Elephas maximus indicus: one gene and its partners. The protein of the gene in region 1 interacts with the protein of each later gene in a pairwise test. Links are inferred from orthologs where the notes say so. Each region holds a gene or a part of one and is shown on either strand. Other genes may lie near its edges.

Region 1 (7,927 bases):
CTCAATGGCATATTTCACAACAAAAATTCTAAGAGAAAAAACAGGTAGAGATACACCTATTCCCCAGAAAGAAAAACTCCAAAGGACCTCTCTTCTCAAATTAATCTGCAAATTCAATGCGATCACAAACTATACCCTAATGAAATTTTCTATAGACTGTTTTGTAAAAAGATGACTCTAAATTTCATCTGCAAGAGAAAATGGAAAAGGAAAACCCACAACTTTTTTAAAAACAAAGTACCAAAATATATTATAAAGCTACAATAATTAAAACAGTATGGTAATACCTAAATGAGTCAGAGAAGTATGTTCAGAACACAATAAAAAATGAGCAAAGGGTATGAAGCAGCAGAATGTTCAACTTTCTTATTAAGGATCATATAAAATTTAAATGAGATAGTCTTTTCAGTTACAAAATTGACAAAATATAAAAATACATATATTGTTAACATACAGTGCTGGCTAGCAGGGAGACAGAAACACACCTTTTTGAGAGAGTGAATATAAAACGGTACAATCATCTGAGGGAAATTCAAAAGCATATTATCCCACATTCTCATAAGAAATCAATTCTACAGAAATAGAAAATACAACCTTTCAAACACTGTCTTTTTCTTAAAATAATTGTGGACAAACATATTTTCACTTTTTATTTCTTCTCTGGCCTGTCTTAGCTTTGTTACAAACCTGGTGGGCAGGGTTACAGCCAGCCTCACATCCTGTAATATTAAATACCACGATCCTCCCCTTTTTCCATTTTAATCCTTCTGGAACACCATGGGCCCTCAGGTCACTAAATGGTAAACCACAATAACGTTATATACTTGGTACGATATTTTTCAAAAAGTTTATCATTCTAATTTTATCTTACAGGGAGAATTAAGAAGGGTAAGAAAAGCTTACCTAAATCTACAGATTACAAATAAAGTGGTGATTAAGAGAAATCTGAGGACTTTTAAAATATCTTCCTCAAATTATGAGGTTAACATGCCACGTTTTCCCACAAAATGCTGTTTAGTGCCACCTTCAGACAAAATGCTGAGTTGCACAGGCCAACATTATGACATTCCTTGTGCATTACCCAATTTTTTTGTTTAATAATCTTCCATGCAGATAGACCTCTTTCTTTTACATCTACTGAAAAAATAGGTCAAGCACTGCCCTGAAGTCTCTTCAGAAAGAAACCTGAGCACCAGACTTTCACAAAGACCCTGTAGGTGCAGAGTGTGATCAATATCACCGAAAAATACAAGTAGAAATTGAATTGGTGAAAGTTTTGCTGCGTATGCTCTAAAAAAAAAAGAAAGAAACCGTATAAAATTACTTTCTAGCGAGTCCAAACTAAGTGAGTAATATCTGCCAACTATTTAAAACATAGCCATAACACCCATGAGGATGAAGCTGTCCTCTGACGAGTAACTCAAAACAAATGCTTCAACTGTTCTACGCTTTTGCTCTCAAAACCGTGAAGAACGACGAACATTGAAGCCCTATAAACCGGTTGCCATCAAGTCGATTGCGACTCAAAGCGACCCTTCAGGACAGAGAAGGGCTGTGTCCCACGGGTTTCCAAAGCTATGATCTTTATGGAGAACCCTAGTGGCCCAACGGTTAAGAGCTTGGCTGCTAACCAAAAGGCTGGCAGTTCGAATCCATCTGCCACTCCTTGGAAACCCTGTGGGGCAGTTCTAGTCTGCCCTATAGGAGTGCCATAGGACCCCAACAGATTTGGTCTAGTTGCTTTTTTAATCTTTAGGAAAGCCCACTGCCACATCTTTCTGCAGCGGCTGGTGGATCTGAACTCCCGACCTCTCCGTTAGCAGCGGAGCGCTTTAACCACTGCACCACCAGGGTTCCTTGAAGCCCTATACGAACTAGTAAAATGGTGACTTCCTAGAAACAATTTAGATCTACGTTTGCAGCGCTGAGAATGCCGACAGGTTGCAAAAGACCGAGTTATTCAAAAAGGAGAGATGATTCCAGAAAAACAGCAACCCCTCTCACTCCAGCTCAGGGCTTCAACCGATTCCTTCCGGTTGGGCTGGCAGCTGAGAATCTGCCTTTCCACCCGATACACTGAATCACAATCTACATTTTAACAAGACACCCACGTAATTCTTATGCATGATAAATTGAGAACCACTGGACTTACCATACATAAAAATAATTTGGGGGATCTTGTTCAAAGATAGATTGTGATTCAGTACATCTGGGGTGGAAATGCAAATTCTTAGCAGGGGGTCCAAACAGAGCAGCTGGCTAGAAGCCCTGGGGCAAACATGCATCAACGCGTTCATCAGTCATCCAAGAAAAACATGCAAAACCAATCATAATTTTAAAAAGTGTAACAGCAAAGCCACCAACAGCAACTACAAAAGTCCCAAGCAGCTATATCATGCATTTAGCCTTAGAAGACTGGAGCTTTGCCTTCCTTCCAATCGTCTACACAGGCGCACAAAACAGCGCGCCCCAAAACCGATGAAGTTTTACCTGTACTTTGTGCTGCCGCCGCCCCTGAAGACTTCAGAGAATTGTTCGATTTCTTTCCCATGCTTTTAGATTTTGTCTGCTCCTTTCACACGTGCTTCCTTTCTCTCGGTCCCTCCTGGCCAAATGTGACACATATAACATATATTTTCGAATTATATATTTTTTTAAAGTGACGTCTTTCTTCCTCTTTGTAATAAAAACCTCCAGTAGCTTCTGTATATTCCCCTTCTCCTGAATTTCCAATAGGCGATCTCAACCCCAAGTTTTCAAAAGCTCTCCAAAATTCTACCTCAAAAGAACCCAAGCCTATTCACGTTGCAGCTCGCCTGCAATACAGCCAATCTTTTCTCTCTGTCGTTCTGCCAAGAACGCGGGGAGGAGATGACTACGAGTAAAAGCGGGGACGACTTAGGAGAGTGGGAAGCCCCGAGTCCCGGTTTCGGCGGCGGCGCCTGAGCCACTCTGTGTCGCTCTCGAATCGACGCCGCTCTAAGGTGCTCAAAGGACGGAGGAACGGTGGGTCAAGGACGAGACTCGAAGCCGTCAGGTCCCCCGCGCTTTTCAGCAAAGCCTCCAATTCTTCCCCGAAAAGGCCATAGAAAAGCAAGAACCCCGTGACGCTACACGGCCTGAGGTAACATGTCGACTTTCTTACACACGATCGCAAGCAACCGGAAGTAAAACCTCGCGGCCGAAGGAAAATGAGAAAAATAAAAGAGAAAGTGAAAACTGAACTATAACATCATCCTTAGAGGTAGGAACGAATCACAGAGCAGATACCGAAGCGCAGGCGCGGGTCGCGTTCGGCGTACACGCGGCACTTGCCTCTTCCCTCTGCGCAGGCGCGAGGGGCTAGCGGGGCCCAATGATTGGCTTTCCTGGCTGGCGCACCGCCAGATGCAGCAGGCGCGGGCGGGAAGACCCTGTACGCGTCCTGTGGAGTGCCTACGCGGGCTATCGGTGGCGCTGGTTTTTACCACAGACGTGGGTGTTGGCTCCTTTAAGGGTCTCCCAGCGCAACTGCCGCGACGCTTGTTTTTTTCCTTGCCAAAATGTGTTAATTCCCAAATATCATCCTTGTTTCAATTTAACAGGTGTTGAACACATGTAACATTTGTGGATGTGCTAGTTCCCTAGGAAAACGCCTCTAGAAGGTTATGATCTATACAGAGGGAACTAAGATGACCATAACCCAAACCAAACCAAACTTGTTGAGTTGGTTCCAACTCATAGGGACCCTACAGGACAGAGTAGAACAGCCCCATAGGGTTTCCAAGAAGCTGCTGGTAGATTGGAACAGTGGACCTTTTGGTTTAGCAGCTGCAGCTCGCTATAGCTCTTAACCACTGTACCACCAGAGCTCAAGATGACCATAAACCAAAACCAAAAACTAAACCCAGTGCCATCTAGTCAATTCCGACTCATAGCAACCATCTAGGACAGAGTAGAACTGCCTCATGGAGTTTCCAAGGAGTGCGTGGTGGACTTGAACTGCTAACCTTCGGTTGGCAGCTGTAGCACTTAGCCACTATGCCACCAGGGTTTCCAAAATGACCCTACCAAATCAAAACCAAACCCGGTGCTGTCCAGTCAACTCCGATTCATAGCAACCCTATAGGACAGAGTAGAACTGCCCCATAGAGTTTCCATTGAGCGGCTGGGGGATTGGAACTGCCGACCCTTTGGTTAGCAGCCCTAGCACTTAACCACTACACCACCAGGGTTTCCAAGATGACCATAAATAACATTAACTCAGCTCTCTCCTTATCTGTGATAAATACCAATGAGAAGTATAAAGTGCTACAGATACCCTGAGCCAGGCACTGTGCGGTGCAATGGAAATAGGAAGAGATTCATTCAGTTGAAGCCGTGTGCCAGGTTATTGTCTTAGGCACCAGGATTACATATGAGGACAAGATCGACAAGGTCCTTGCGTGTAAGGGAACTTACTCTAGAGCTGAAGGCCAAGCAGGTAAACAGCAACAAAATATAATTTCAGATAAGGATATGTTCTATGAAAACAAACTGGAAATGCTGGAGAATGGGGGCAGAAGCTGGAGGCCAGGGACAGAAGAGGCAGAGCTGAATAAGGTACATTTGAAGTCAAACAAAAAAAAAATTTTTTTTTGAAGTCAAACCTGAATGACACAAACTGCATCAACCTGTCCTTGGAAGATCTGGTCGCTATGAGTTGGAATCGACTTGGGCAGTGGGTTTGGTTTTGGAAGATCTGGAGGAAGAGCTTGACAAGTGGAAGGTAAAGGAAGTGCAAAGGCCCTGAGAAGTGAAGTTAAGCATGCTCAAGAACTGAAGAGGTCTGGCTGGAGAAGCAGGGAATAAACCATAAAATAAAAAAAGTGCACAAAATCAGAATGTACAGTTTATCACAAAGCAAACATTCATGAAAACACCACCTCAGTCAAGAAATAGAGCATGCTAGTATCCCAAAGTCTCCCCTTTTCTCTCAATCACTACCCCCTTCTCTACCACTAAAGATAACCGCTATTCTAACTTCCAAGATAATCTTTTTTATTTTTCTTTACAGAGTTGCCATTGAAGTATGCATCCCTAAACTTTCATAGTTTAATTTTGCTTGTGTTTTGAATTTTATATGAATTGCTTTGTGTCTGATTACTTTGGAGAAATACTATATGAGATTCATCATGTTTTGTGTGTTTTTTCATTTTCATTGCAATATAAGTAGGTGTGGATATAGCACATTTTCTTTTTATTTTTTTTTTATTGTGTTTTAGGTGAAAGTTTACAACTCACATTAGTTTCTTATACAAAAATTTATGCACACATTGTTATGTGACCCTAGTTGCTATTCCTATACTGTGACAGCACACTCTTTTCCACCTCAGATTTACCATGCCCATTCAACCAGCTCCTATCACTTTCTGCCATCTCATCTCACCTCCGTAGCACTTTTTTTTAATCCACCGTATGGTTCATGAACATCTGGATTGTTCCTAGTCTTGGCTATTAAGAATAATGCTGCTATTGAACCAGGTGGTCATGAGAAGGTCATTAACCATCCCATAATAGTTGTTTTTCAGAAAGCCTACTCTTGCTACATTTTTGCTACAGCACTTCAACCTGATTGGTCGAATCCCCAGGTCTCTTCTCTTTTCCTAGTGCGAGGCTGAGGCCCAGGCGTATTATGAATTTGCTGGCTATGTGACCTTCCAGAGGTGACAGTAGCAAGCAAATCACCATTTTAGGACCACACAACAAGAATTAGGCATCCGACACTTGCGGACTTCATGTGCATCTTCCTATCGCAAGACTGAAGATCCTCCCCTTGCTGTCCATGCATATGTATGTCACTCCCTATAAAAGGTGCAAATCTACCCTAGTTGGGGGAGCTGGCAGCCTTAGGTCACAAGACCCTGCCTGTCTCCCAGTTTGCAAACTGCGAATAAATCTTTCTGTCCTTCCAACTCTGCATCTGGCTGGCTTTAATTCTCTTGTCTGCTTGACAAGAACCTATTTATTAGTTGATGACTTCACTATGAATGTACTTACTTCTCTTCTGGTGCACATGTATACTCATTTTTGTTTGGTGTATACCTAGGAGTAGAAGGCAGGCACGCTGGGTATAATAGTTGGGGGTTTTATTTGAGTACATATTTATTCCTGCCCCCCTCTGTGGTGCAATCCTTTGAGTGGCTTTTTGCCTTGATTCTTTGGCAAAAGAGTTTGGGAGATTTTCCCCTAAACCCTCAGAAATTGTTATTTTTGCCCTAGTTCTTTGGAGAAACAGCCTGGGGGAAAGGAGTGCTACTCCCAGGTTGTTGATTACCCCAGAGGGTTTGTTACTTTTGTTCAGGGGATTCCCCAGGTTGATTGACACTTCCTGGGTAAGCTGTAAACAACTTAATGCTTTGAGACTTTTATCTGGTAATTAACAAGACCTGAGTTGATTGACATCTCATGGGTGACTGACCTTTGGTTGAATTCTGGTCTGGTGAGGGAGGCCCTGCCTTGTAACTAAGGGGGAGTGGGATATACGAACAGCTAAAATAGGTAAGTTTTAGCAGCCGCCCAGTTGAGAAAGAGATGTTGGGTAAGTGCTGGGCTGGTAGAGAAGCAGAACCACAGGGGAGCTAAATGATCCTGAAGCTGCTACATTGGCTGTGAGCTAAGCCAGTTAGTAGCAGAGAGGGCTGATGCAGGAGAGGCCTAATGTGAGAGAGCAGCTATGAGAGCTGAGCAAGCTGCTATACTGGCTGTGAGCTGGCCCAGTTAGCTGCCTAATGGCAGAGAGGAATAGTGGAGAGCTGCTGCTGGGACAGAGGCTGAAAGTAGAATCCCAAAGTGGGAGAAAGGAAAAGAGGAGGAAAAGGAGAAGGCAGCAGTGGGGGTGTTGGTAGAAGAGGAGAAGGGGGCTCTGAATTCCTCCACAGCTTTGCTCCCTCTGAGGAGTAAGGCCCATGATGAAGGCCCCATGGAGGCAGTGGAGGTGGAGCTGGAATTGCACACCCTGCAGAACAGGTAGGCTCTGTGGCTCTTTAAGAATGACTTCAGCCAGGTCTTGCATCTGGTCACCAAGTTTGACACTGTGGAGGACTTTTGGGAGACGTACAGTCACATCCAGCTGGCCAGTAAACTCTACTGGTTGCAACTACACTCTGTTCAAGGATGGCATCCATCCCATGTGGATTAAGCATCAGGATTAAGCAGGGTGGCCACTTGCTGGTCAGCCTCGCCAAGCACCAGCGCCACAGCGAGCTGGACCTTCTCTGGAGACACTGTTGTGTCTGATACGGGAGAGCTTTGAGGAACATAGAAGGAGGCATGTGGGGCTGTCGTCAACATTTGCACCAAAGGGCACAAGATTACTGTGTGGACACGGGAGGTGAAGAGCCAGGCCAGCGTGCTGCACGTTGGGCATAGCCACCAAGAGCACCAGGAACAAGTTTGCAGTGTATAGGGGTCTCGGGAACACTCACATTTCAATTTCACGACCAGAGCCTGTGTGTGTGTGTGTGTGTGTGTGTGTGTACATGATGGGGGGAGGGCAGCTTACACAGCTGCTCCTTGACATGACTTGGGGGGCAAACAGCTGGTTCTTCCTGTGTCCTGGAGTGAATATGAACACTTCTTAATATGATTGGGGGCTAGGCATGAGGCTAGCTCTGTGGGGGAGGGCCCAGCATTACCTGGAGCCAGAGCCGGGGGGAAGAGATTGAGGGAACTTCTGGGTTTCCTTTTTTCATCTGGGGGTAGGGTATTAGCTGGGCCAATTAGTGGTAGAGAAGTCAACAGCAGAGAGCCTGACAGTGGGGAGCCCAATGGCCAAAAGCCCAACAGCAGAGAGGCCTGCACAGCAGAGAGGGCAGCTACTGGCAGAGAAGCTGAGTTATGGCACATGCCTGGCAGAGAAGGCGGCTGCCTGGCAGAGAAGGCGGCTGCCTAGCAGAGAAGCTGCATC
Region 2 (8,380 bases), on another chromosome or scaffold:
TTTTCAAGATTTTTTTTTTCTTAATTTGTCTTTAGTTTTCAGAAGTTTAATTATGATGTGCCTTAGCATGGATTTCTTTAGGTTTATACTGTTTGGGGCTCACTCAACTTCTTGAATCCATACGTTTGTGTCTTTCACCAAATTTGGGATGTTTTCAGCCATTATTTCTTCAATTATTCTTTCAGCTCCATTCTCTTTCTTCTCTCTTTCTGGGACTCCAATGATACAAACATTGGGTCTATTGTTATTACCCCATGAGTCTTCAAGGCTTTTTTTTTTTCTTCTTCTTCTTATTCTTCAGTCTATTTGTTGCTCTGTTGTTCAGATGGGGGAAATTTTGTTGATTTGTCCTCAGGTTCACTGATTCTATTCTCTGTCATCTCCACTCTACTATTGAGGCCACCCAGTGAGTTTTTGTTACTGTATTTTTCAGTTCTATTATTTCCATTGGAGCCCTGGTGGCCCAGTAGTTAGGAGCTCGGCTGCTAACCAAAAAAGTTGGCAGTTTGAATCCACCAGCCACTCCTTGGAAACCCTATGGGACAGTTCTACTCTGTCCTATAGGGTCACTATGAGTTGGAATCGACTCGATGGCAATGGGTTTGGATTATTTCCATTTGATTCTTTTTTATAACTTCTGTTTCTTTGCTGAGATTTTTTGTTTTAAAAGAATTTGTAATTGCTTGTTGAAGCATTTTTATGTCAGCTTCTTTAAAATCCTTGCCAGATAATTCCAACATCTGATTAATCTTGGTGTTGGCATCAGTTGGTTGTCCTTCCTCATTCAAGTTATGATTTTACTGGTTCTTGATCAGTAATTTTTTTTTGTATCCTAGACATTTTGTCCATTATGTTATGAGACTTTGAATCTTTCATTTTAGCAGGCAGTCACCCTGATGAGGTTTAGCATGCAGCCTACATTTGTGGGCCGTGATTCCAATGACAACTTAATTTTCAGAGTCTCTGCAGTGTTATTTTCATCTGCTTGCTTTATCTGGTGCCACTGGGGCTTCCACTAGTCCCTGGTGGTGCTATTTGAGGGAGTTACCAGGCCAGGCCAGACCACCCAATGCCTTTTGGTCGGGGAGGAGAGTCTCAGACCTGGTGTGGAAGAAGAACACTTCACCTGGTCACTTACTGTTAGCAGAGCTCTTGGTCAGTTCCCTTTACTGGTGGTGCTCGGCTTGCCTGGTGATGTCAGAGGGACTCCCTTCAATCCAGGGAGCTCATACAGTGGACAGTGGGGAGTGGACTCCAGAGGTTCTAACAGTGCTGTCCCTCAGCCAGTCTCACCAAAACAGATTCTACATGCTCCTGCTTCCACTTCTGAATTGAAGTCTGGGATCACTGAACAGGATTGGTGGAGTTCAGTCATACGTCTGTGTCTCCAGCTTCAAGGGAAGCTGGGAAAAAAAGCTCTGGTTTTTACCTTGGGGAAATGGCACTACTGATATAGGAACTGCCCCAAACATAGGAAGGCCATTTGAGAGATGTTGGAGGCCTCCAAGTGTGACAACAGTCTCCCACATATGGACATATAATAGGACTACTTAAGTAAATACTCAATGGCCAGGTCATAGCCCAGACCCTACATCTTTGCTGGCATGCTGGTTCTCCACCAGAGTGGGGCCTGCTCATGCAAGAGGGATGCGGACTTTATTGGGTTTCTTGGTACATCAGTAAGGTGTTCCCTGAGCCCGGCAAGGTGAGTGCAAGTTGTCTCTAAAACCTCGCATGGTATTTCTCTTAAATGACCCTTTCCATGTGATAAGACTCCTAATGAAGGCAGAAACTATCAGTTAAAAATATGAGTAGACGATCTGGATGAAGCTTAAATAACTATGTTGAGTGAAAGAAGCCAGACCAAAAAAAAGAGAGTACACAGTGTATGATTCTGTTTATATAAAACAGTAGAAAATGCAAACAAATTATAGTGATGGAAAGCAGATCAGTGATTGTCTTGGATGAAGGGGGTGGCGGGGAGGGATGTGGAGAAGGATAAAAAAAAGAGCACAAGGAAACTTTTATGTATAATGGATATGTTCTCTATCTTGATTGTGGTGGTGACTTCATGGGTGTATACATATGTCAAAACTTAACAAACTGTACATTTTAAATACATGCAGTTTATTGCATGCCAATTGTACTGCAATAAAGCTGGACAAGGAACAAAAGAAGACGGAAGAAGAACTGACGCATTTGAGCTGTGATGTTGACAAAGAATACTGAATATTCCATGGGCTGCCAGAAGAATGAACAAATCACTCTTAAAAGAAATACAACCAGGATGCTCCTTAGAAGTAAGGATGGTGAGATTTTGTCTCATTTACTTAGGACATACCATCAGAAGGGACCAACTGCTGGAGAGGGATATCATGCTTGGTAAAGCAGAGGACCAGCAAAAACAAGGGAGACCCTCAATAAGATGGATTGAGACAGTGGCTGCAACAACGTGCTTGAACATATCGCCTATTATGAGGTTGGCACAGACCAAACAACATTTCGTTCTGTTATACATAAAGTTGCTATGAGCTAGAATGGACTTGACAGCACCTAACAAAAACAACAAAGCTGGGTACCTATGCGCATCTCCCCTGGGTGATGAATAGAGTGGGTGGGGGTAGAGAGGAAATAAGATTTGCCCTGACTTGATGATGTGGGTGATGGGTACATCAAAGGTCATCGCATTACTCTCTCTACTTCTGTATGTTTGAATTTTCCATAATAAAAAGTTAAAGCAAACAAACAATGGCTCCCTGTTTCATTCAGGGGAGAAACCAAAGTCCTTCCACTGGCCCACATGGCCCTACATGATTCCCCAGACTCACCTCTCTGCCCTCATCTTCTCCTGCTTATCTCATTCACTGCTGCAGCCCTCTGGGCTCCTTGCAGTTCCCTGAACAGGACAGGCACTCTCTTGCCTCAGGGTCTTTGCTTATGCCCTTCCCCCCTGCCTGGAATCCTCCTCTCCCATGGCTTGAACCTGCCTAAAGGTGACCTTCTCAGTGAGTCCATCCTGACTATTCCATTTAAAACTGTTACTATCCTATACCTGTCACTTTCCATGCCCTCTTCCCTGTCTCCACAGTAGTTATCATCTGACGTCCTGTATAACTATTTATTTGTTGCTGTCTCCTCCCCTTCCCCAGAACGTAAGCTCCATGAAGTTAGGAATTCCTGCCTGATTTGTTCACTGCTGAATCCCCAGCATTGACAACAGCGCACAGTAGGTTCTCGATGAATGAATGAGCAACATATAAATATTCTAGTGGCATGCCTGGTAGGGAGTGAGCACTACGGGATTCATCACAATCTAAAAATACCTTGCTGAGTCATTTGATAAATATAAACTAATTGTTAGTACCTTTTGTCCTGGCCTTTGTAAAACGAGAATACAATACATACACACATTGGTTAGTTAATTCATAGTGAGTATTTTAGCAAGGTAGGGAAGGATTCCCATGGTTTTGGAGGTGGGCAGACCTGGTTTGAATCCTGGCTCAGCCACTTGCCAGCTATGTGACTTGGCCAGATTGCTGAGCCTCTCAGAGCCTAGTTTCTTCACTGATGTGCTTGCTGGAAATGTCTGCAGTCTGGGATGGCACAGAGCTGACCTGGGAGCTCACCCCCTGCCCTTCCTGAGCGAGCCCTTGCCCCTTTGGCAAGATCGTCAGGAACACCTCCAAGGCCTGCCCAGGTGCTGTGCCCCCTTGGGACCTGTTGGTGGGGTAAGCTAGCGACAGGTGAAGAAACTGATAAGGAGGGACAGGCAGTGATATCCTGAGATCACAAAAGGGGAGGTGACTCAGTCCTGACCCAGCCCTACATTCTCCCCCAGCCCCCTCCCCCCAAGCCTGGGGCTATAAACAAATGACTCAGGAATGATGGGGGAGTGCTTCACAGCAGTTCACACCGGTGCCCCAGGGGCTAAATTTAACCCGCAGCTGCAGCCTCTGGCACTTGGGGAACAAGTTAATCTTGGTGGCTGAGGCTGATGTGTGTGTGGGGGGTGGGGGTGTCAGGAGTCCAGGGCAGGGTAGGGACTAGGACTGGCTGTCCAGGGTCTCAACCCAGACCCCTCAGACCGTAGCAAGGGCCCTGAGGCCAAGCAGGGCTGTGCCAACTTCTCTGTACTGGGCATAGGGCCCTTCCCCAGGCAGGCTCAGGCCATGCCCAGTATAGCCAAGACCAGTGAGGACAGACAGCTAAAGTCCTGGAATATTACAAATATTAAACTTTTAAGAAGGTTACTTTTTTAACATTAGAATCCAGAATGTCACTCCCCTAGAATGTTAAAACTCGGGGGCTTGAAACACCTGGAATATTAGAATCCTAGGAAATCAATATTTTAGCATGTCCCTCACCTTAAAATGTTAGCGTATACTCCCAGGAACACAACACCTCGGAGCTTCTGAACCTCAGCAGTGCCCAACTGAGGCCTTAGAGCTCAACTCCCCATCTCCTCATTGTGTATGAGGGGAAACTGAGGCTCAACAGGGAGACCTGACCTGCCCCAGACCCCACAGGAAAGTGGTGACCTTGTTTACCTAAGATAGTTCCTTGCAGTTCGAGGAGGGGCTCAGAGCTGGGGCAGAAAGGGGAAAGTTCTCCCCATTTTAAAGGTGGGGGCAACAAGGCCGCCACAGGGTGAATGCTATAGCCAAGTTCACAGCAGTATCCAGAAGTGGCTGGAATGGGATAAACTAGAGAGAGGAAGAAAGGCCCGAAAGGCATGAAAGAAAAGAGACCCTGGAAGAGGGGCTCCAATGCTTCCCCCTCCCTCAGCTGAAAGTCAGAGCTTGCCGTCCCTCCCCTCGCCATCCCACCCAGGGGTATTGCCCAACTAAGGAATCCAGAGTCAAGGCCTCACTGCGTTCTATTCAGAAATGTAGCAGCGAGGCCCTCATCTTTGCGTGGAGGGTCCAGACGCTCTCCACCATCACCCCACCCCCACCCCCACCCCCACCCCATCCCATGAGTCCCCTGGACTGAGTCAAGGCTGCTGGGGGAGAGGGCCTCTGGCCAGCTGTCCCCTCCACGTCATCCGCAGGAGGCCAGACTACTCGCCTTACAGGCCTAGGCCGCCTCTATATATAGCCCATCGAAGACAGCTGCGCAGACCCAGAGTGCCTCAGTAGGAGGGCAGGGGAGCACCGAAGTCCCGCGTCCCAGTCGCCATACCCTAGGCTACCCACCATGGCGCTGGGCCTGGAGCAGTTCGAGGAACAGCGCTTGTACCAGCAGACACTCCTGCAGGACGGGCTCAAGGACATGCTGGACCACGGCAAGTTCCTGGACTGTGTGGTGCGGGCGGGCGAGCGCGAATTCCCGTGCCACCGCTTGGTGCTGGCCGCCTGCAGCCCCTACTTCCGGGCGCGCTTCCTGGCCGAGCCCGAGACCTCGGGCGAGCTGCGCCTGGAAGAAGTGTCCCCCGACGTGATGGCCCAGGTGCTGCACTACCTGTACACGTCGGAGATCGCGCTGGACGAGGCGAGTGTGCAGGAGCTGTTCGCCGCGGCGCACCGTTTCCAGATCCCGTCCATCTTCACCATCTGCGTGTCCTTCCTGCAGAAGCGCCTGTGTCTTGCCAACTGCCTGGCAGTCTTCCGCCTAGGCCTCCTGCTCGACTGCGCGCGCCTCGCCGTGGCCGCCCGCGACTTCATCTGCGCCCGCTTCGCGCTCGTGGCGCGCGACGCCGACTTCCTCGGCCTCTCGGCGGACGAGCTCATCGCCATAATTTCCAGCGATGGCCTCAACGTGGAGAAGGAGGAAGCGGTATTCGAGGCAGTGATGCGGTGGGCCGGCGGCGGCGACGCGGAGACTCAGGCTGAGCGCCAGCGCGCGCTGCCCACCGTCTTCGAGAGCGTGCGCTGCCGCCTGCTCCCGCGCTCCTTCTTGGAAAGCCGCGTGGAACGCCACCCGCTGGTTCGCGCCCAGCCGGAACTGCTGCGCAAGTTGCAGATGGTGAAGGATGCGCACGAGGGCCGAATTACCGTGCTCCGCAAGAAGAAGAAGGAGAAGAAAGAGAAGGAGGGAGCCGGAGCCAAGGCGACTGATAAGGGCATAGGCAAGGCCAAGGCCGAGCCCGAGGCCGAGAAGGAGGACGAGGAGGAGGGCGAACGTATCCTCCCCGGGATCCTCAACGACACCCTGCGCTTCGGCATGTTCCTGCAGGACCTCATATTTATGATCAGCGAGGAGGGCGCCGTGGCCTACGACCCGGCCGCCAACGAATGCTACTGTACCTCCCTCTCCACCCAGATCCCCAAGAACCATGTCAGCCTCGTCACCAAGGAGAACCAGATCTTTGTGGCCGGAGGTATCTTCTACAACGAGGACAGCAAAGAGGACCCCATGAGCGCATACTTTCTGCAGGTGCCAGGCAGCCCTGGGAGGGGGCAGCCAGGGCCAGGATCTGGGCACTGAGGCAGCCTTGGGCGCCAAGAGAGGACTGTGTCTACTTGTCAGGGAATGTCACTGGTTCTAGGATAAGATGTAGACCAGGGAGACTGACAGCTACTTGCCTCAAGGTTGGGGAGAGCCCGAAGCAGCTGACTGAGCTGCACTATTTTGGGTGTCAGGGTTTCAGGAGGATGTGAGCCCCGGGATCGTCTGGTTGGAGGCCCTGGCCCTGCACATGGGTTGGGGTCAGGCACAGTGAGGGGGAGCAGGGCCAGCGCAGGGGTCCTGGGTAGAGTGTCTGCATGAGACCTAGGTCTGGAGCCTGGAACACAGGATGTCCCAAAGGGACCATCCTGTTTAGTCCTCCCATTGTACAGATGGGGAAAGGAAGGGCCAGTAGAGTGCCCAGTTCAAGTTGGGGTGTGACTGTGGAATCTCAGAGCGCTGGGATGGTTTCCTGGAGACCAGTTTGAGCCTTGTCAGTTGGGTGGAATTTAGAGACATGGAGAGGATGGTGGTGTTTCTGAAGGACAGGTAAAGGGGAGATGGTGTGAGCAAGGAACAGACAACAATGAGGACTCTGGTGAGTGGTGTGCTCAGTGAGGCCTGCGCAGGTGCTCGAGGGGGGAGGGGCAGCTCGGTGCCAGGGCGCAGCCCACAGCTGGGTCCCAGAGCCCCCTCCTCAGCTCCACCTTGTGGTGCCCCCATCACATCGCTATAATGGTGGTCCCTGGGCACCTACCTCATCACACACCCCAGGAAGGCCTCACCTGCTCTTAGCCTGGAGTGGAAGAGGGGTACTGTGTGGCGAGGAGGACACCTCCAGGCTGCGCTGGCCCTCCCTGAAGTCCCGATCTCCTTTGTGACCCGGAGTGGCAGGCGGGACTGGGCTGGGGCTGGAGTGGTGAGGGCGGTAGCTGATTGGACGCCCGGCCCGGCCCACAGTTTGATCACTTGGACTCCGAGTGGCTCGGGATGCCGCCGCTGCCCTTGCCGCGCTGCCTCTTCGGCCTGGGAGAGGCTCTCAACTCCATCTACGTGGTCGGCGGCCGAGAGCTAAAGGAGGGCGAGCTCAGCCTGGACTCGGTCATGTGCTACGACCGGCTGTGAGCGCGGGCGGGGCGGGCTGGGGACCCGCCGGGGAGCGGGCTGGGGGCGGGGCCGGGGCCCTGGGGCCGAGAAGCGGAGGTCGGCGGGAGACCAGAGGCCGGGGGCTGGTCCTACACGGGGGGGTGGGGGCTGGGAAGCCAGCGCCCAGGGGTTGGGGCGGGGGCGGGGCCATGGCCCTGGGTGGTGGGGTGGGGTGGGGTTGGAGCGAGGAACTGAGAGGTCTGGGGACTTCCTGTAGTGCATTGGACGCACCTGGAATATGTGTTGGATGGGTGGATGAAAGGAGAGACGGATTCTGAGCGCACGGTCTGAGCCGAGCGCTCGCCCCAACTCCATCCTCTCCCGTCTTCTCCAGGTCGTTCAAATGGGGCGAGTCGGACCCGCTGCCTTATGCCGTGTACGGCCACGCGGTGCTCTCTCATATGGACCTTGTCTACGTCATTGGTGGCAAAGGCAGCGACAGGTGAGGTTCGGGCGGAGCAGAAACAGAATCTCCCCGAGCTGTCACGGCTTGACTGGCTGCGCTGGGAGGGAGGGGTGACTGGGCCGAGGGAGGGGCGGCTCTGTTCCCCTTCCATCCACTCACTCACTGCCTCCTCCCCTCCCACAGGAAGTGCCTGAACAAGATGTGCGTCTATGACCCCAAGAAGTTCGAGTGGAAGGAGCTGGCACCCATGCAGACTGCCCGCTCACTCTTTGGGGCCGCGGTCCATGATGGTCGCATTTTTGTAGCTGCTGGGGTCACCAACACTGGGCTGACCAGTTCCGCTGAGGTGTACAACATTGCAGACAACAAGTATGGCCACTGCCCCGCCCACCACCCCAGGAAGGCAGGATAGCTGTGTGCTGTGCTATGTGGCTTAGGGCC
Region 3 (7,888 bases), on another chromosome or scaffold:
TTACGAACCTCAACTCTAACGTAAGAGATGTGGGTTTGAATCCTGACTTTGCCACTTACCAGCTTATGACCCAACCCAAGTTCCTTAACCTTCCTGAGTCTTCGTCTTCCCCTCTATAAAATCAAGGTAGCAATACTGGACCTTAGTATCAGGCCAGACACACAGTATGTAGTGACAGTTACTTTCCAGGTACAGCAGGAAGACTATGGGCTCTGCTCAGACAGGCCTAGGTTCAAAACTACTGCATATTAGCGCGTGATCTTCAACACGTTATTTAATCTCTCTGTACCCCAGTTGGAAACCCTGGGGGCGTAGTGGTTAAGAGCTATGGCTGCTAATCAAAGGGTCGGCAGTTTGAATCCTCTAGGCGCTCCTTAGAAACTGTATGAAGCAGTTCTACTTTGCCCTATAGGGTCGCTATGAGTCAAAATCTACTATGAGTTAAAATCGACTCAGTGGCGACAGCTTTGGTTTTTTTTGGCTTGGTACCCCACTTTTCTCATCTGTAAAATGGTAATCATGACAGTTTCCATTTCATAGTGTTGGTTAGTGGACTGAATGAAATAAGGCACTTAAAGTTCTTAATCTGGTGCCTGGCACACAGTATGCCCTCAATAAATGATGGCCATTAGTTGCAGTGCTACTTTGACAAAATTATGCAAGTCGTTTCATCTCTCTGAGCCTCAGTTTTCTCATCTGTAAAATGGAGATAGCCCTTACCTCAAGGTGAGAATGCAATGAGTGGATGTGTGTAAAGCACTCAGCACCGAGTCTATACATCTGAGGAAGTCAAATGTCACATCCCTGGTGCAATGGACAGAGGACAGGCTGCAGGGTCAGGCAGGCAGCTTGAGAGTCTGCCTCCACCTCCTTTCAGCTGTCCCAGGATACAGGGTGTATCTCTCCAAGCCTCAGTTTCCTCATGCATAAAACCAAAGGCCATTTTCTGCAGCATAAGACTATAGGGAGGATTAACAACAGCACCCAGGATGGTTCCTGGCACATGGTAGGTGTTCCACAAATGTGAGTCCCCTTCCCCTCTCCCTGCTCTCCTTTCGTGTTCAAACCCACCGAAATGCCCATCTGGCAAAGCCAGGAACTACATTTCTTGAACCCTGAACAGCCCTAAGCCCAAACCCAAACCAACCTGGGATAGTGAGACTTTATTTTGTAAAGATAGAAACTTCTTTTTAGTCATTTCCAAAGCAGACGGGACAGCAGAGGCTGACAAACCACAGGGACCATTTTAAATCCTGGGCCTTTTCTTCTGGGAAGTTAGGCAAGAACCTTCCCAAATGTTTGCCCGTGAGGCCCTCTGCCAGGGAGTGACTCATTCCACAGCTCCCCAGGCGTATTTTATTTGGGGGTGGGGGATTGAGGGAGGGCCTGGCCTTGATGGGGGAAGGGGAAGGCCACGTTTCCAGCAAACCCAGAAGGTGTGTGTCTTTTTTTTTTTTCCATTTTTCAGACAAAAAAGCAAAAGAATGTGGGTCTTTTTTGTTTCCTTCCAGGTTTTGTTTGTCTAAAAGAAGACGTCCAAAGTTCACTTGGTGAGCTTGCTGCGTTGGGAGCAGGCGCTTCCAGCCGGCTCTGTGTCCCTTTCAATGAAATTCTTCTTCCATTAGCTACGGGGTTTTTAAACGTGCCTCCAAAGTTTGCCTGCGCGTACGCCGAGCTTCTAAGACGACATTTTCCCCCTCAGAAAGGCAAGCTGAATTTTGAAAATGCAGAGGAAATGGGGATCCACAGAGTTTCTCAAGTTTGCCTTAGAGCAATAAAGACTTTGGACTACAAAGATTTTCAGCATTTATAAAGCACAAAACACTGTCACTCAAAGCTCCAAGGAGAGACACCTTGGAAGATGGTGTCCCAAGCCTGCTGTGATGAATTTGTTACTGTCTTGGAGACTTGTGCTTGAAGCCCAGGTGCCATACATATCAATCAGACAAATATCTATCTGTTTAGCAGGACAGGCAGAGACAGATCCCATAGGCACAGACAAATGTCTTAGTACTGCTGGACTCACCAGGGTCAACCTCCAGGCCTGGGAAAGGGTTAAAAGCCAGCCAGGCCAGAGAGAGCCAAGACAAAGTGGAGACCCAGAAGGGTCTTTAAGAAAACCAGGCACACATCCTCTGGTGCCCGGCCAAAGGGCTCTGCCAGCCTACCACATCTCCTGCCCAGCCTGTGTGTCCTGGATCCTGCCAGTGGTCCTGCCCAGGCCTGGCTAAGAGGCTTCGACCTCTGCCCAGGCTCAATGGGGCTCTGGGAGTCTGTCCTCTGGTCCCTCATTCACCAAGTGAGGCCCTGGCACCCACCCCATGCTCACGCCAGGTCAACTTCTCTCCACGGGCTCCCTGACATCTGGGCCAGCAACAGGCATATCACACATATAGACCTGGTGGGCCCAGAGGAACCATCACCCTTGATAATAAACATACCCACACACTCCTGTACACAAATCACACACTCACATCCACATATGCACACTTTTGTCTTCTCGGGCTCGTAAATGCACACACAAATCATTTGTGAATACCACATTCATACATGTGCATACACACACATACTCCCTACGATCCACACATACTACGTCACAAAAATGAGATCACAGTGAACAGCCTGGCACAGTCCTGGGCACATAGTAAACATCCCCTAAGTGGATAAACGAGAGCGATGGTCGTTTTCCAGCACTCATTCACACCAAAAATCACAACCCAGAAACTGATGTGCACACGCACAAACTCCGGCGCAGGCATGCACACACTCCTGAGAACACACTGAGGAACTGAGGACAGCGGGACACACGCAGCCCTCACACGCTCGGACGCGTACCGACGCAGACACGCTCAGATTTTCACTTTCACAAGCGCACCCCCAACTTCACGCATGCACACCCTCCGGCTCTTCCCCGCGGAGCCTCGGGCGCGCGCGTGTGCACGCGCACTCGCCTGGGCCCGGGTGTGGGGTGACGGCCCCGCGGCCCAGCCCCCGCCCCCTCCCCGACCCCTACCCAGCCCGGCCCAGGCCCAGGCCACTCACCGGCGCGCGGACGGGATCGGCGGCCCGGCGGAAGGACCCGCGCGCGGACTTGCGGGCCAGCCGGAGTGGCGGGTCTCACACGAGTTGGCCGCGCGGCGGCCACACTCTCGTCCGCTCGGTTCCGCCACCGCTGCCTGCGCGGGCCCGAGCGCGCGCTCCCGCCCCTCCCCGCCGCGGGGCCGCGCCGCCCCCTGTGCTCGCGCGCGCTGCCGCCACGCAGGCTGAGGGGGGTGGGGGGGGCGCGCCCGGGCAGCGCCTTCGTTGCTCCTGGACCCTTCGGCTCCCCAGCAGACCTTCTGAATGGCGAATAAGCCACTCAGCCGGCCCCCTCCCCCATTTCACAGATGGGGAAACTGAGGCGCAAGCTTACACAGCAAGTCAGGCCCAGCATCTTCTAGGCACTTAGGATGAGGGGCTGCAATCAGCCAACCCATGAACCCCTCCCACGCGCTTCTTGGGGTCCCCTATCACCTAGCATTTTCCCCATCACGGCACTGGTCATATTGAAATTGGGCAAGCCACAAGAACTTATTGTGTGCCAGCTGAAGGCAGGCAGTGAAGTAAAAAGCCAAGAATAAGGTGGTGCAACGATGACTGCTTCCTGCCCTTAAAGCACAAAAGTCTTCTCCGCTGGAGCTCCCGGCCTCCTGTGGACCCGGGTCCAGACAGAGTCAGTGTGCAGAGTTGAGAAGTAAAAGACCCCACTAATGAATACCCAACACTCCCTTCAAGGAGATCAGCCTCCATGGGGATCCAAAGGTTGGAGAAACTCAGTTCCCTGCTTCCCTTACTAGGGGAACCCCGTGAAGGTGAGGACTCTCCTGGGTCGGATAGTTCCTCTCACCACACTTGCTGCCTCTTCTCCACGTACCTCTGGCTCTTTCCCCCAGGATGGCTGAGAGCAGGGACCAACCCTGCCTGCCAGATACTCAGCTTGGCCACAGCACTGTGCTGAGCAGAGTGGATGTCCATTGGGCCTCCATCTGCCCAGCGAGTGGGCATGCTTCCACTGGGGATGACCTACGGCAATAATTAGCACCAGCCAAGCATCCACTGTATGCTGGACCCCTTACTGCACGCTTGGCCTGCATTGTGTTGTTCAGTCCCACAGCTGCCCTGTGAAGGGGTTATGCTACCACTGTGCCCATTTCACAGATGGGGCAAATGAGACTTAGAGTGAACCTTAGAAAAGTGAATTCCCTTATTCAAAGTCATACCGCTGGTAAGTGGTTGAGCTGGAGGGTGGACAGCAGGCTGCCTAATTCCAGTGCCTGCGAGCCTGATCACCGGGCAGTCTTGCCTTATGAGCAACATAGTTCTGGGCTGGGGATCTGCAGAAGCTGCAGACGGTGCAGCAGCTGGCTCAGAGTTGCCAGCACAGTCGCAGCTCCCCGTCAATGAAAAACAGAGACTTCGCAAATTGACAGGGAAGAAGTGGATCATTCTGCAAATTGTTTAGCTGTTTAGTTCCATTTATAGCCTCGCCTCACGTGATATATACCACAAAAAATGTCAGATAAATCAAAGAGCTAAGGGTAAGAAAATGTTGTTGTTATTACCTGCCATTGGATAAGGCCCTGACTAGTGGTGACCCCATGCACAACCAAACAAAATGTTGACCACTCCTGTGCGATCCCCAGGATTGGCTGTGGGTCAGGCTGTTGCAATCCATAGGATTTTCATTGGCTGATTTTCAGAAATAGATGGCCAGGCTTTTCTTCCTAGTCTGTCTTAGTCTTAAAGCTCCACTGAAACCTGTTCAGCGTCATAGCAAGACGCAAGCCTCCACTGACAGACGGCTGGTGGCTGCGCATGAGGTGCGTTGGTCAGGCATCAAACTCAGATCTACCACATGGAAGACAGAATTTTCCCACCGAGCCATAAGTATAAGAAATAAGCAGTGCAAAAAAGTAATAGAAAGAAACAGAAGTTCTGGGGCAATATATTGCAGTACTACTAGCAGGATCCATGATATTGGTCATAGTCATGCAGCAAACATTAGTTCATTCATTCATTCACCTGACACATATCTGTGAGTATTTTCTATGGGCCAGGTAATGTACAGTAATGAACAAAATACACCCCCGACTCTCTTGGGGCTTCAGGCTGGGATGGGAGAGAGAGAAAACAAACAACCATAAGTATCTGGCATCTTAGGAAGATAAGGTTGGTAGAGAAAATAAAACAGGGAAGGGTTAGGAGAGCCCAGGAGGGCTTTTTCGTAGAGGCTGTTTGGAGCAAGCCTCATTGATGAGGTGCCGTCTGAACAGAGGCCTGCCTAAAGAAGTGAGAGAATCAGCCACAGGCTTACTGTGTGTCAGGTAGGCCCACGCTCCCCAAGGATGCATGCCTCATCTTGGTAAGCTATGGAGCAAGAACCTCAAGCCCTTAGAAGACTTTGGGAGCAGCACTAGACCACTGAGAAGAGAAAGACCCGGCCCCACGCACAGATCTGCATAAGCCTCTACCATTTGCAAAACCCTTCCCTGACTCTCAGGGACCCAGTAATGTGTGCTTGCAATGCCCTCATTTTCCAGTTGAGGAAACTGAGGCTCAGAGAGGTCAAGTGTTATATCCCAGGTCATAGAGACAGCAATCAGCGCAGATGAGTCTGACTGCAGCTGAGCTGATGTTAGGGGAATGAGGAGGCCTTGCCCCCCCCGCACTGTTCCCACTGGCCCTCAAACTCTAATTGAGGAATGGGAGGAGGTGGGGGGTTCACTAAAGTCTTCTAGAGACAGAAGGATACAGCAGTAGGACTTGGAGGAGGACGGAAGTCATCCAGGCCTTCCTCCTTCTGGCCTCCACTTCCTTCACTCAGACAGTCCCAACCCCTGGTGGTATACTTGGGGAAAAAAAAACGGTTAAATTGCACCCAAAGATTCCCCCACTCCCCACCAAATCCCTGCACTACTGTCACCACCCAGGCCAGGGTGTGAGTAGAGGGAAACGGCACAAGGCAACCTGAGCCCCACTCAACTTTTGATTTTAACTCAAAGGATTTTTTAGTGAGTCCCCGAATGAGTCACTGCATAGAGGTGCTTCCCTAAATGACTCCTAGAATTAGAAATCCACGTCCCCCTGCGCACTGTGCCCAGACTCTTCCTCCCATGGGGGTGTTTGTGAATCTGGTCTCTCTGTTCACCCCCCAAGAGTTTCAGAATTAAGCCTGCGTCGTTTCACTATTTCTCTACATGAGGGGAAGAAAAACTCCAGCTTGCGGAGACCTTCTCCGTGCCCGGTTAGGTGCAAGACATTTAATTCTCACAGCTACCCTTTGAGATCAGAGTCATGATTTATGTTTTATTGATAAGGAAACTCAGAAGTGGTTTGAATACAGACAGGATTTGAACCCGGGTCTGCCCAAAACCTATGTTATTGTCAGCATTTTGGGGAAAGAGTTGTGGGGAGGAGGGGACACATGAAGAAGAGGAATCAGGTCAAGTTCCTTTGACGGTACTTAGTTCAAAATGTCTCTTTGCCAGCTTCCAGATGGTAGGATTCTGGTAGGGAGGCTAGAGCCCAGGAAGTCTGTTTTGTTTGTTGTTTGGGTGTGATTATTAATGGCACCATCTTTCACTCTCAAAGTGCCTTGGTTTGGATGATAGACTTCGGTTGTTTTTGAAGGGCACTGAATTGGGGGATTCATGTCTTTTTATTGAGATGAAATTCACATGACATAAAATGAATCATTTTAAAGTGAATAATTCAGTGGCATTTAGTTCATTCACAGCGTTGCGTAATCACTATGCTGGATTCATTTTTGACATGATACCAAGGACATAATTGGGGCCTCTTGTCTGCTGGGCCTGCCTTCACATCCTAATGTCTGCGGATCTGGCCAAGGACTCCACAAGAGTTTCTGAAGCTCCAGTCACATTTTCATTAGCAGCAAACCTGGCTGGCTTGTGGACCGGACTGGGCGGCTGCTGGCTTGGAAGGAGTCAGGGCTACAGTTTGGGACACCCCCTCCCTCCAACCTCAGCTCTGCCATTCCGTCCCCGTGTGACTCTGGGCCTAGTTTCCCTACTGGCAAAATGGGGGTGGGTATCTAAGAGCCTGCCAACCTTGACTTTCTAGGATTTTAATTTGCCGGTGCACCCTGGGAAATCGAACTGACCATATTTAGCTATTTTAACTTTTTACAATATTAATTTGATTTCTTTGTTGAATAGATAATACTTGCCCGTGGTTCAAAATTCAACAGGTACAGAAGGGTACGTGGTAAAAATTTCCTTTCCACCCCTACCCCCAGACACCTGGTTCCTTTTCCAGGAGGGAACCAATGTTGCCAATGAGCTCTGTGCCCAGCCATACAGCTGTGTTTTGTGTGGGTATGCATTCATGTAAATACGTATATATATTTTTTTCTTTTCTTATTTTTGGCACAAATGGTAGCATATACCCACTTGTGTTTTCTTCACTTGTTGAAGACAATTTCCTATCAGTTCATAAAGAGTGCCTCCCTTTTTTATGACTGCATAGCATTACAAAATCTTCCCATTTAAACCATATCTAGCATTGTACTGGTCTAGTACTGTGAGAGATAACAGAAGTTCCAGCAGTGGCCCCTGTCCTGAAGGACTTATACAAAACAAGAAAAACAAAACTTTGCAGAGGCAAGGAAGAACAACGGCCTGAATGGCCCCCATGCTCATGTGTGAGGTTTGGCTCTGGAGTGAGTAGTTTTTGACTCTCAGCTTCAGGCACCTATAATAACAACCGCTTGCCATCGAGTCAAACCATATTCATGGCAACTTCACATGTGTCAGAGTAACACTGTGCTCCACTGGGTTTCCAAAGGCTGGTTTTTCGGAAGTAGATTGCCAAACTTTCTTCTGAGGCA
Region 4 (7,659 bases), on another chromosome or scaffold:
CAGGGATTGGACTGGACTATAAGACAGAAACTGATGCTGTTGAGGAGTGAGCTTCTTGGCTCAAGTAGACAAATGAAACTATGTGGGCAGCTCCCGTCTGGAAGCAAGATGACAAGATAGGGGGGAAAAGGAGCTGGTTGAATGGACACTGGGAATACAGGGTGGAGAAGAGGAGTGTGCTGTCTCACTAGCGGGAAAGCAACTAGGAGTACATAGCAAGGTGTATAAGTTTTTGTATGAGAGACTGACTTGTAAACTTTCACTTAAGGCACAATAAAAAAAAAAAGTTTACAGTGAAAAAAAGGCATACTTTTTCATGTAAGCAAAAGTGAACTATAAAACACATTAGGTTTACTTTCACCTAAAGCACAATTTAAAAAAATACATTACGTTTACTTGGTCTTATTTATAAAAACATTGGTCCAAGAAAAACTGTTGTCATTAGCAATTGTTAGTTGTTTTCAAGTTGGCTCCGACTCATGGCAACCCCATGTATAAGAGAACAAACATTGCCCAGTCCTGTGCCATCTTCACGATTGTTGGTATACTCGAGTCCATTGCTGTGGCCACTGTGTATTTTGAGTGCCTTCCAATCTAAGATGCTCATCTTCCTGCACTATACTGAGCAATATTTTCTAGTGGTCAGTAGGATTTTTATCAGCTAATTTTCAGAAGTAGATTGCCAGCCCTTTCTTCCTAGTCTGTCTTTGTCTGGAAGCTCTGCTGAAACCTGTCCACTATGGGTGACCCTACTGGTATCTGAAATACTGGCAGCATAGTTTCTAGCATCACGGCAATATGCAAGCCACCAGAGTATGACATAAACTGGCAGATGGGTGGTGGAAGAAAAGCTACACTTCCTTAAAAAGGCTAGGTAGGAGTTCGGGGAATTATTTCCTAAGGATAGAAATTCTGCTTCCGAATCCTCCTGAATTAAGTTTATTTTTACAAATTTATCATCTCACTAGTCACAATACATTGGTCTATTATAGTAGTACAATTTGCCTAGAAAAAGGTGCTTAGTTCTGGGAGACAGAAAACACCTGCTGAATTCTAAAATGTCTCTAAGTTACTAATGTTCATTTTTATTCTAACAGCTCAAAATGCATTGCTCCTGTCATGCTAATAAACAGATATTATGAATGCTGATGAACAACATTTTAAGACCCACAACTGAAAAAGACCATTTCACTATCAATTAAAAAGAAAAGAAAAAACCAAACCTGTTGCCATCGAGTCGATTCCGACTCATAGCGACCCTATAGAACAGAGCAGAACTGTCCCATAGAGTTTCCAAGGAGTGCCTGGTAGATTCAAACTGCTGACCTGTTGGTTAGCAGCCATAGCACTTAACCACTACGCCACCAGGGTTTCCACCATCAATTTAGAAAGCCATAAATGACATGGCACACTAGTTATCTTTATCAACTGCCCGGCTAGTAATAGCACTCATGTAGACATTTCCTCCCAGTGAAGAATAGCATATACTTGCATATTTTAATGTTCAAGAAAATACTGAAATTTGAAGAGTTCTAGGCATTTCGTAGAAATAAAAAGTTTTAACATTTGCTTATTTACATTATAATTCTTGATAAATGTTACCTACACGTTTTTAAATACACAAACCACCCCAAATCTCACAAATGTCAGCCCTAATAGTATCAACTCAATGCTAAAGAAGTTTATAACAAAATATGGCTTAAGTCAGAAACAAGCTAGCAGGCTCATAGGGCAGGCAAATAACTAAAATAAGAGAAGTAGGCTTCACAGACCAAGGAGGATCTTGACCATCAGCTGCTACTCAGCTCTAGCCAACTGCTGCCTTGAGGGAATACAGGCAAAAAATAATAATAATAAAATTAAACACTCTGCTAACCTAATAAAGCAAGTCTGTAAGCTGGATTTGGTACATGGCTACCTGTTTGCTACCTTTGCTACAATGTGCAGGGTGGTTAAGAATTAATCTGAGTCAGAGAAAACTACATTTAGAGAACAGCTCTAACACGCTGCATGAGTTTAGGTCTAAGTTATAAAACCTATCTAAACCAGTTTCCTCATATATGCCTCACTAAGTTTTTAAAATGAAGTTAGCTTTGCATGTACTCAAAAAAGTTAATTAACATTAGGTGCTAAGAGGTAAGACACAAAAAGAAACAGGGTAGGAGAAAGTGCAGTTCAAGCCTCCTTTCCATCTGGCTGTGGGCTTTACTGTCCCTCAAACTCATAATGCCTAGTCCCACTTTCTTTCCCACCCACAGGCTATTTTCTTCACCAGCGATGCCTCCTCTTCCCTCAGGTTTCTTCAAGGCCTAACTCACACCTGGTCCTTACCTTTCCTTTCTACTTCAGGCCAAACCACTCTCCCCTTTCCTTTGCACTTTCAGGAGGGTAGGGAAGCGAGGGCCTATTTTATTGCTAAACCCCAGGAAATTATCATAAAATCCTGGTACCTGTGACTCTAGTAGTTTTTTCCCCTAAATCTTTGAGCACTGTGCACTTTGTGAATTCTCCATGACAACTGAAACAACCTATCTGCATTTTCACTGAACACTACCCTTCTCTTCCCCTCTGATTATTTGCTTAAAGAATGACAAATAACCAAATTACCCAAAATGTCAAAACATATTAACAAAAAAACCATTTCTAAGGAAAGAGATTTGAAAACTTAACTTTGGAATAACCATTCCAACATTCTGCTTCTTTAAAAAGAAATTTGAGTTAACGACAATATAGGTTTTTTTTTTTTAATCTTACACTTGTTCTAGTACCGGTGTCCAAAAAACTAGCTTTACCAAAAAAAATTATGCTTGACTTTATCAAAAAGAAAAATTACACCGATTTCAACTCATATTTCTTGATAGCAATCTGGAACCTTAATTCCTTGGAAACTCTGGGAATCAATTAAGTTATGGTGCCTCTCTCAGGAAAATGCAGAGCCCTCAAATTTTTGTCTACAATTTCATGAGGACCCCCAGGTTCAGAATACCCCAGATTTCTGGTGGATCCACCCATCCCACGTTAAAAACTCTAGTGCTGAATGAGATTTGTTTCCACTATTAAACGTTAGGTATCTTTTTTAAAAGACAGTCTTCCTTCATGAAATCCCTCAGCTCTGAGATTAACTTGGGAAGCTGCTTCCCTTCATAACTGTCATTACTTCCCAGCAGCCAACCTGAGAGCTGACAGAATATTGGTTATTTCTTACCTCTGAGAAATTAACAGCCAAAGGAATGATTCCAGCCACGTAACATCCCACCAACATAGCGAGGGACAGCATACTAATGGAGATGAAATCATCCATTCTGCCCTCCTTTATTCACCCACCACCACCAGACAGACTATGAATTTTCAGTGGCTTCAAAAGTTGCTTAGGTTCTCAAGCACGCGCGGTGATTCCAAGAGAATAGGCGGGCTCTCCAGTTCTTTCGGCCTCCCCACCAGCAGATCTGTTCTCGAGGTACCTCTGGAAACCCCTTTTTGCTGATAATAGCACCAGAGAGAACTTTCAGCAACCTTAGGTCCCAGCCTCTGGGTTCCCAGGTGCCAGACACTGGATTCCCGTGAGTTAACAGAAATGGGAAAAGTCAACGGGGAAAATATGAGAATGAACGACTTCTTCAATCGTCGGAATGAGAGTGGCACAAGGAGTCCACTCCCCCCACAGACAATGTCCCAGATGGCAGCAGGAAGAGGAGGAAAACCCAAGAGAACCTGTTCGTCTCCCGGCCCCCCGTACCCCTGAGGCAGCCCAACGGTGATCCCCCCAGGGCTGGGACCAGCCCACCAATCCCGGCAAACTCCCCTCCAAGTCTTGTATGGGGAAAGGAGTCCTGCAGGTCTCTAACACGACGGATCCGAAAGGTTCAGCAGCGAAGCTGATACAAAGCTGTCTCTGCCCTATACCCGCTGCTGCCCATGACACTCCACTCCTCCGAGTCTTGACCCGAAGACACCGATACTACAGCTGCCATGGCCGCCAAGTGGCAACTCTTCATTACATCCACTTCCGGATTGCCCCACCGGTTCCCCCCCCCGAAAGGCATTTCCGGGTTACAACCGACCTATGGCCCGGTATACTTATACGGCCGCCATTTTTTAGTAAAAATATTAGTAAGGCCACTGAAAAGGACTTGTTCCCGTCTATACTGGTGATCACTCTGGCCGAATGTCTAACAACCAGAGTACGGAAGACGGCGTCTTAAAAAAAAAAAAAAAAAGGACCCTTTCTCAAGCTACGAAACATTCCGCGATGTATCTAAGTCGCCCTTATCCAACATGGCTGAAACAGAGTCGGTATCTGCTCTAGCTACCGGAAATATGTACGCCTCTATGGTCCAAAAGGCTCTTTCCGGTTGCGATTTTGACGAGTTCCGGCGGCTCCTCTCGCGGGGATTGGCTGTTGGCGGCGTTGTGGCTCAGCTCGTGTGCGGTGGTGGTATCTACAGCGGCTGCAGCGAAAGAGTTTGGCACGATGGTGAGAAAGGCCTCCCCGGCTACCCGAGCCCCCACCCTTCCTGGCCCCTCCAGCCCCGTACATCTTCCATCCACCCCAGTCCAGAGCGAGCGTGTTGCTCCCCGCCTCTCCAGCGCGTGGGTCGACCCTTTTGCTTCCCGCCACGGAGTCGCCGGGCCTTGCTCTAGGCCCCGAACCCTGGGCCAGCTCTAGGGTTGCGCGCCGGACCACTGGCTCGGAAGAGGCGCGCCGTGCGTCTAAGGATGCCCTTACTCCCGCCAGCTGCTTGGTAGAGGGAGGCGTAGGGATGGTGCCCTTTCCCTCCAAACGCTCTACCCTGGTGTAGGAACAATGGCCGAGGGATGTCTATCAAACCTATCCGAAGCTGACATTCCACTTCCTGCACTCGCGTGGGGCCTGGAGGGGTCGTGTTTGCTTTGTGGCGAGTTTTCTCAACTATTCCCCTTTTGCTTTTCCGTGTTTTGTCGTTCTCCCCTTAGGTTTTTACCCTTTTCTAATACATCTAGGTGTCCCACTTGTTTCCCTCAACCCTACCCAGTTGAGAAACCAAACCCATTGCCTTGAAGTCGATTTTGACTCATAGCGATCCTATAGGACAGAGTAGAACTGCCCCATAGGGTTTCCAAGGCTGTGTAAGTCTTTACCGAAGCACACTGCCACATCTCCCGCTTGAGCTGCTGGTTTAGTTTGAACTTTAAGGGTTAGTAGTCGAGCGCTGAACTACTTGCACCGCCTGTTGTTACCCTTGTTTATATTCTGATGGGACTGGAGTCTGAAAAGGTAGGCTTACCCGAGGTTCCAGGTACTTAGAATCTGGCTGGGGTGGTAGTGGAATGGGTGTTTTTTTTTGTTTTTTTTTTTTAGATCATCAGAAGAGGGATGCCTACAGGGCGTCTGGTTGCTGGTTTTGTAACTACCAGTGCAGTTATTGCTAACGATGAACTATGCCTAGTTGCACTTTTTGAATTGAGATTTTTCAGTGCTGACTCAATCTAGTCTCCCAAAAAGGACAAGGAATCAGAAGACTGTTTCCAGTTTCTGTTTTGCCATAACTAGCTTTGTGACTTTGGGCTTGTCATTTTACTCGTGTAAGTTTCCTTCTTCTTTGGTTGTATGTCCCCTCTTTGGTATTGTGTTAAAATTCAGCGATCAAAGTCTGAGACAGTTACAGCAATTAACATCAACAACTCATTCTTGAATAAATGTTAGTAATATTTCGTCATCAGCTTTGAGTAGAATTAAAAGTTAGAATTTATAATTAAAGTGGATAATTATTGGTTTGAACACCGTAAGTACTAGAAGGTGCAAGCTTCGATTTATTTTTGTTTTTTGTAGTTTGGGAAAATACTGGATGCCAGTGAACAGATCATAGGTATTATAATATTGCAACAGTCAACAGCAGAATGACTGTTCTCCTGTTTGTGAGACTTCTAAAAAGTAAACAAAGTCAGATTATTTATCAGAGTGAATCACAACTGCTTGGTAATCTCTCAGGATAAAGGATTTTATTAAGAAATTATGCATAATTTTTTTCACATTTTGGTTTGTCACAACTGGTTTTTCCTATTATAAATAGAAAAAAATATATATTTATTGTACTGGCCATTCCCCCAGGAAAGACTGTAAGGAATGCATGGACCAAATCTGCCCAGAAGTAAGCGGGGGGCGGCGGAGGGGGGGGGAACTGACAAGACATATGTTTATATTTACTAAAATAAAACAAAAGGGTTCTGAAAAGAACAATAAGAAGAAAGTGACCAAAACCACTTTGGGAGATATTATGATCTTTAAAAATTGCTAACAGGAAAGCACTGCCACTTAAAAATGATAATTTAGTTATGTCGCATATTTAGTAGTTTTAATCCATGTCTTTGGGTAATAAATACTGAAATAATAAGCTTTGCCTAGAGCCTTATTTTAAGACTAGATATAAAAAGAAGCATATTATGTAGCCATTTCCGTATGTTACCCTTTCAAATAGTCATTTAATTTGCATTAGCATAAGAATTAATATAATAGCAACTGATATAGCTACTGTACGGAACCCTGGTGGTTTGGTGGTTGAGAACTTGGCTGCTAACCAAAAGGTCGACAGTTCAAATCCACCAGCTGCTCCTTGGAAACCCTGTAGGGCAGTTCTGTTCTGTCCTATAGGGTCACTATGAGTCGGAATCAACTCCATGGCAACAGGTTTTTATAGCTACAGGGCAAACCTTATTGCAGGAATGCTAATGTGATTTCTATAAAATTATTTTTTTCTTAACAAATGACTCACTGAAACTGCTTTATGGGGGGTTGATGGCTGATGATAATGTCTACATAACAGGTAATCTAGTATAATGCTTTATCTGGCTTTAAGTCTAATCACTTTAACAAAGGCTTTGTATACAGGTCTGCATAGGTGAGGTCAATTACTCTTAATCTCTTGTCACCAAGTTCTCATTTGATCTCAAATCCTCTCAAACTTTTTATCAGCATAATTCAGTTTTAGATTGGGAGAGGGAGTATAATAACCCTTTGCTACACATATTATGTTTAAAGTACTGTTTTCCAGTTGCTTATTCAGAAAGTCTGGATATCAGCTATTTTACCTCCAATTTGTTTGCCATTAAAAATTCTGATCATTTCAAAACAGTTTGAAAGTCCTATCATTATAAATGAGTTTTTGTTTTGTCCAAAAATACTAGCTAGTACAGCAAAAGAAGAGAATGATTTGGAATTGGGTTTACAGTGGAGTTGCGTCATACTTGCATTTAATTTGTCAGTCTTATACACTTGGCAAAGATTGGGTAGGGGAATATTTCAATAGACCAGTGATTCTCAGCCAGGTGCAGTTTTGCCCCCCAAGGGACATCCGGCAATGTCTAGAGACATTTTTGGTTGTCACAAGTTGTCTGGGGAATGCTACTGGCGTCTAGTGAATGCTACTGGCGTCTAGTGAGTAGAGGCCGGGGATGCTGCTGAAGATCACACAGTGCGCAGGACAACCGCCCACAACAAGGAACTGTTCAGCCAAAAATGTCAGTAATACTAAGGTTGAGAAATTTCAAAATAGACCCACTAACAAAAAATGCCACCACCCCTGCCCCTCAGTGAGCATAAGATGGAAGAGTGAGTTGGGAAGAAAATATAGGAAAAAAAAAAAAAAGCAGTACAAAGTAGCTTATGCTGAATACTTACAGGCA

What was found.
Region 2: the proteins of TASOR2 (region 1) and KLHL40 interact in binary tests that used the Homo sapiens proteins (3 or more experiments, as listed by UniProt). The two-hybrid records come from large-scale screens. The link is inferred for Elephas maximus indicus from reciprocal best matches to the Homo sapiens genes TASOR2 and KLHL40.
Region 3: the proteins of TASOR2 (region 1) and NEK6 interact in binary tests that used the Homo sapiens proteins (3 or more experiments, as listed by UniProt). The link is inferred for Elephas maximus indicus from reciprocal best matches to the Homo sapiens genes TASOR2 and NEK6.
Region 4: the proteins of TASOR2 (region 1) and ERH interact in binary tests that used the Homo sapiens proteins (3 or more experiments, as listed by UniProt). The two-hybrid records come from large-scale screens. The link is inferred for Elephas maximus indicus from reciprocal best matches to the Homo sapiens genes TASOR2 and ERH.

Annotation. Positions count from the first base shown.
Region 1 is NC_064822.1:53,202,968-53,210,894, forward strand, and holds the start of TASOR2 (protein TASOR 2), read right to left. Parts: upstream 3,198-7,927; 5' UTR 2,552-3,197; coding exon 2,491-2,551; intron 1-2,490.
Region 2 is NC_064838.1:47,155,319-47,163,698, forward strand, and holds the start of KLHL40 (kelch-like protein 40), read left to right. Parts: upstream 1-5,159; 5' UTR 5,160-5,196; coding exon 5,197-6,375; intron 6,376-7,347; coding exon 7,348-7,508; intron 7,509-7,867; coding exon 7,868-7,975; intron 7,976-8,122; coding exon 8,123-8,308; intron 8,309-8,380. UniProt on the Homo sapiens protein: Substrate-specific adapter of a BCR (BTB-CUL3-RBX1) E3 ubiquitin ligase complex that acts as a key regulator of skeletal muscle development.
Region 3 is NC_064827.1:75,293,434-75,301,321, reverse strand, and holds the start of NEK6 (serine/threonine-protein kinase Nek6), read right to left. Parts: upstream 3,190-7,888; 5' UTR 3,043-3,189; intron 1-3,042. UniProt on the Homo sapiens protein: Protein kinase which plays an important role in mitotic cell cycle progression. Required for chromosome segregation at metaphase-anaphase transition, robust mitotic spindle formation and cytokinesis.
Region 4 is NC_064828.1:81,863,852-81,871,510, reverse strand, and holds the start of ERH (enhancer of rudimentary homolog), read left to right. Parts: upstream 1-4,365; 5' UTR 4,366-4,471; coding exon 4,472-4,474; intron 4,475-7,659. Other genes in the region: SLC39A9 (zinc transporter ZIP9), read right to left, coding at 3,206-3,297. UniProt on the Homo sapiens protein: May have a role in the cell cycle.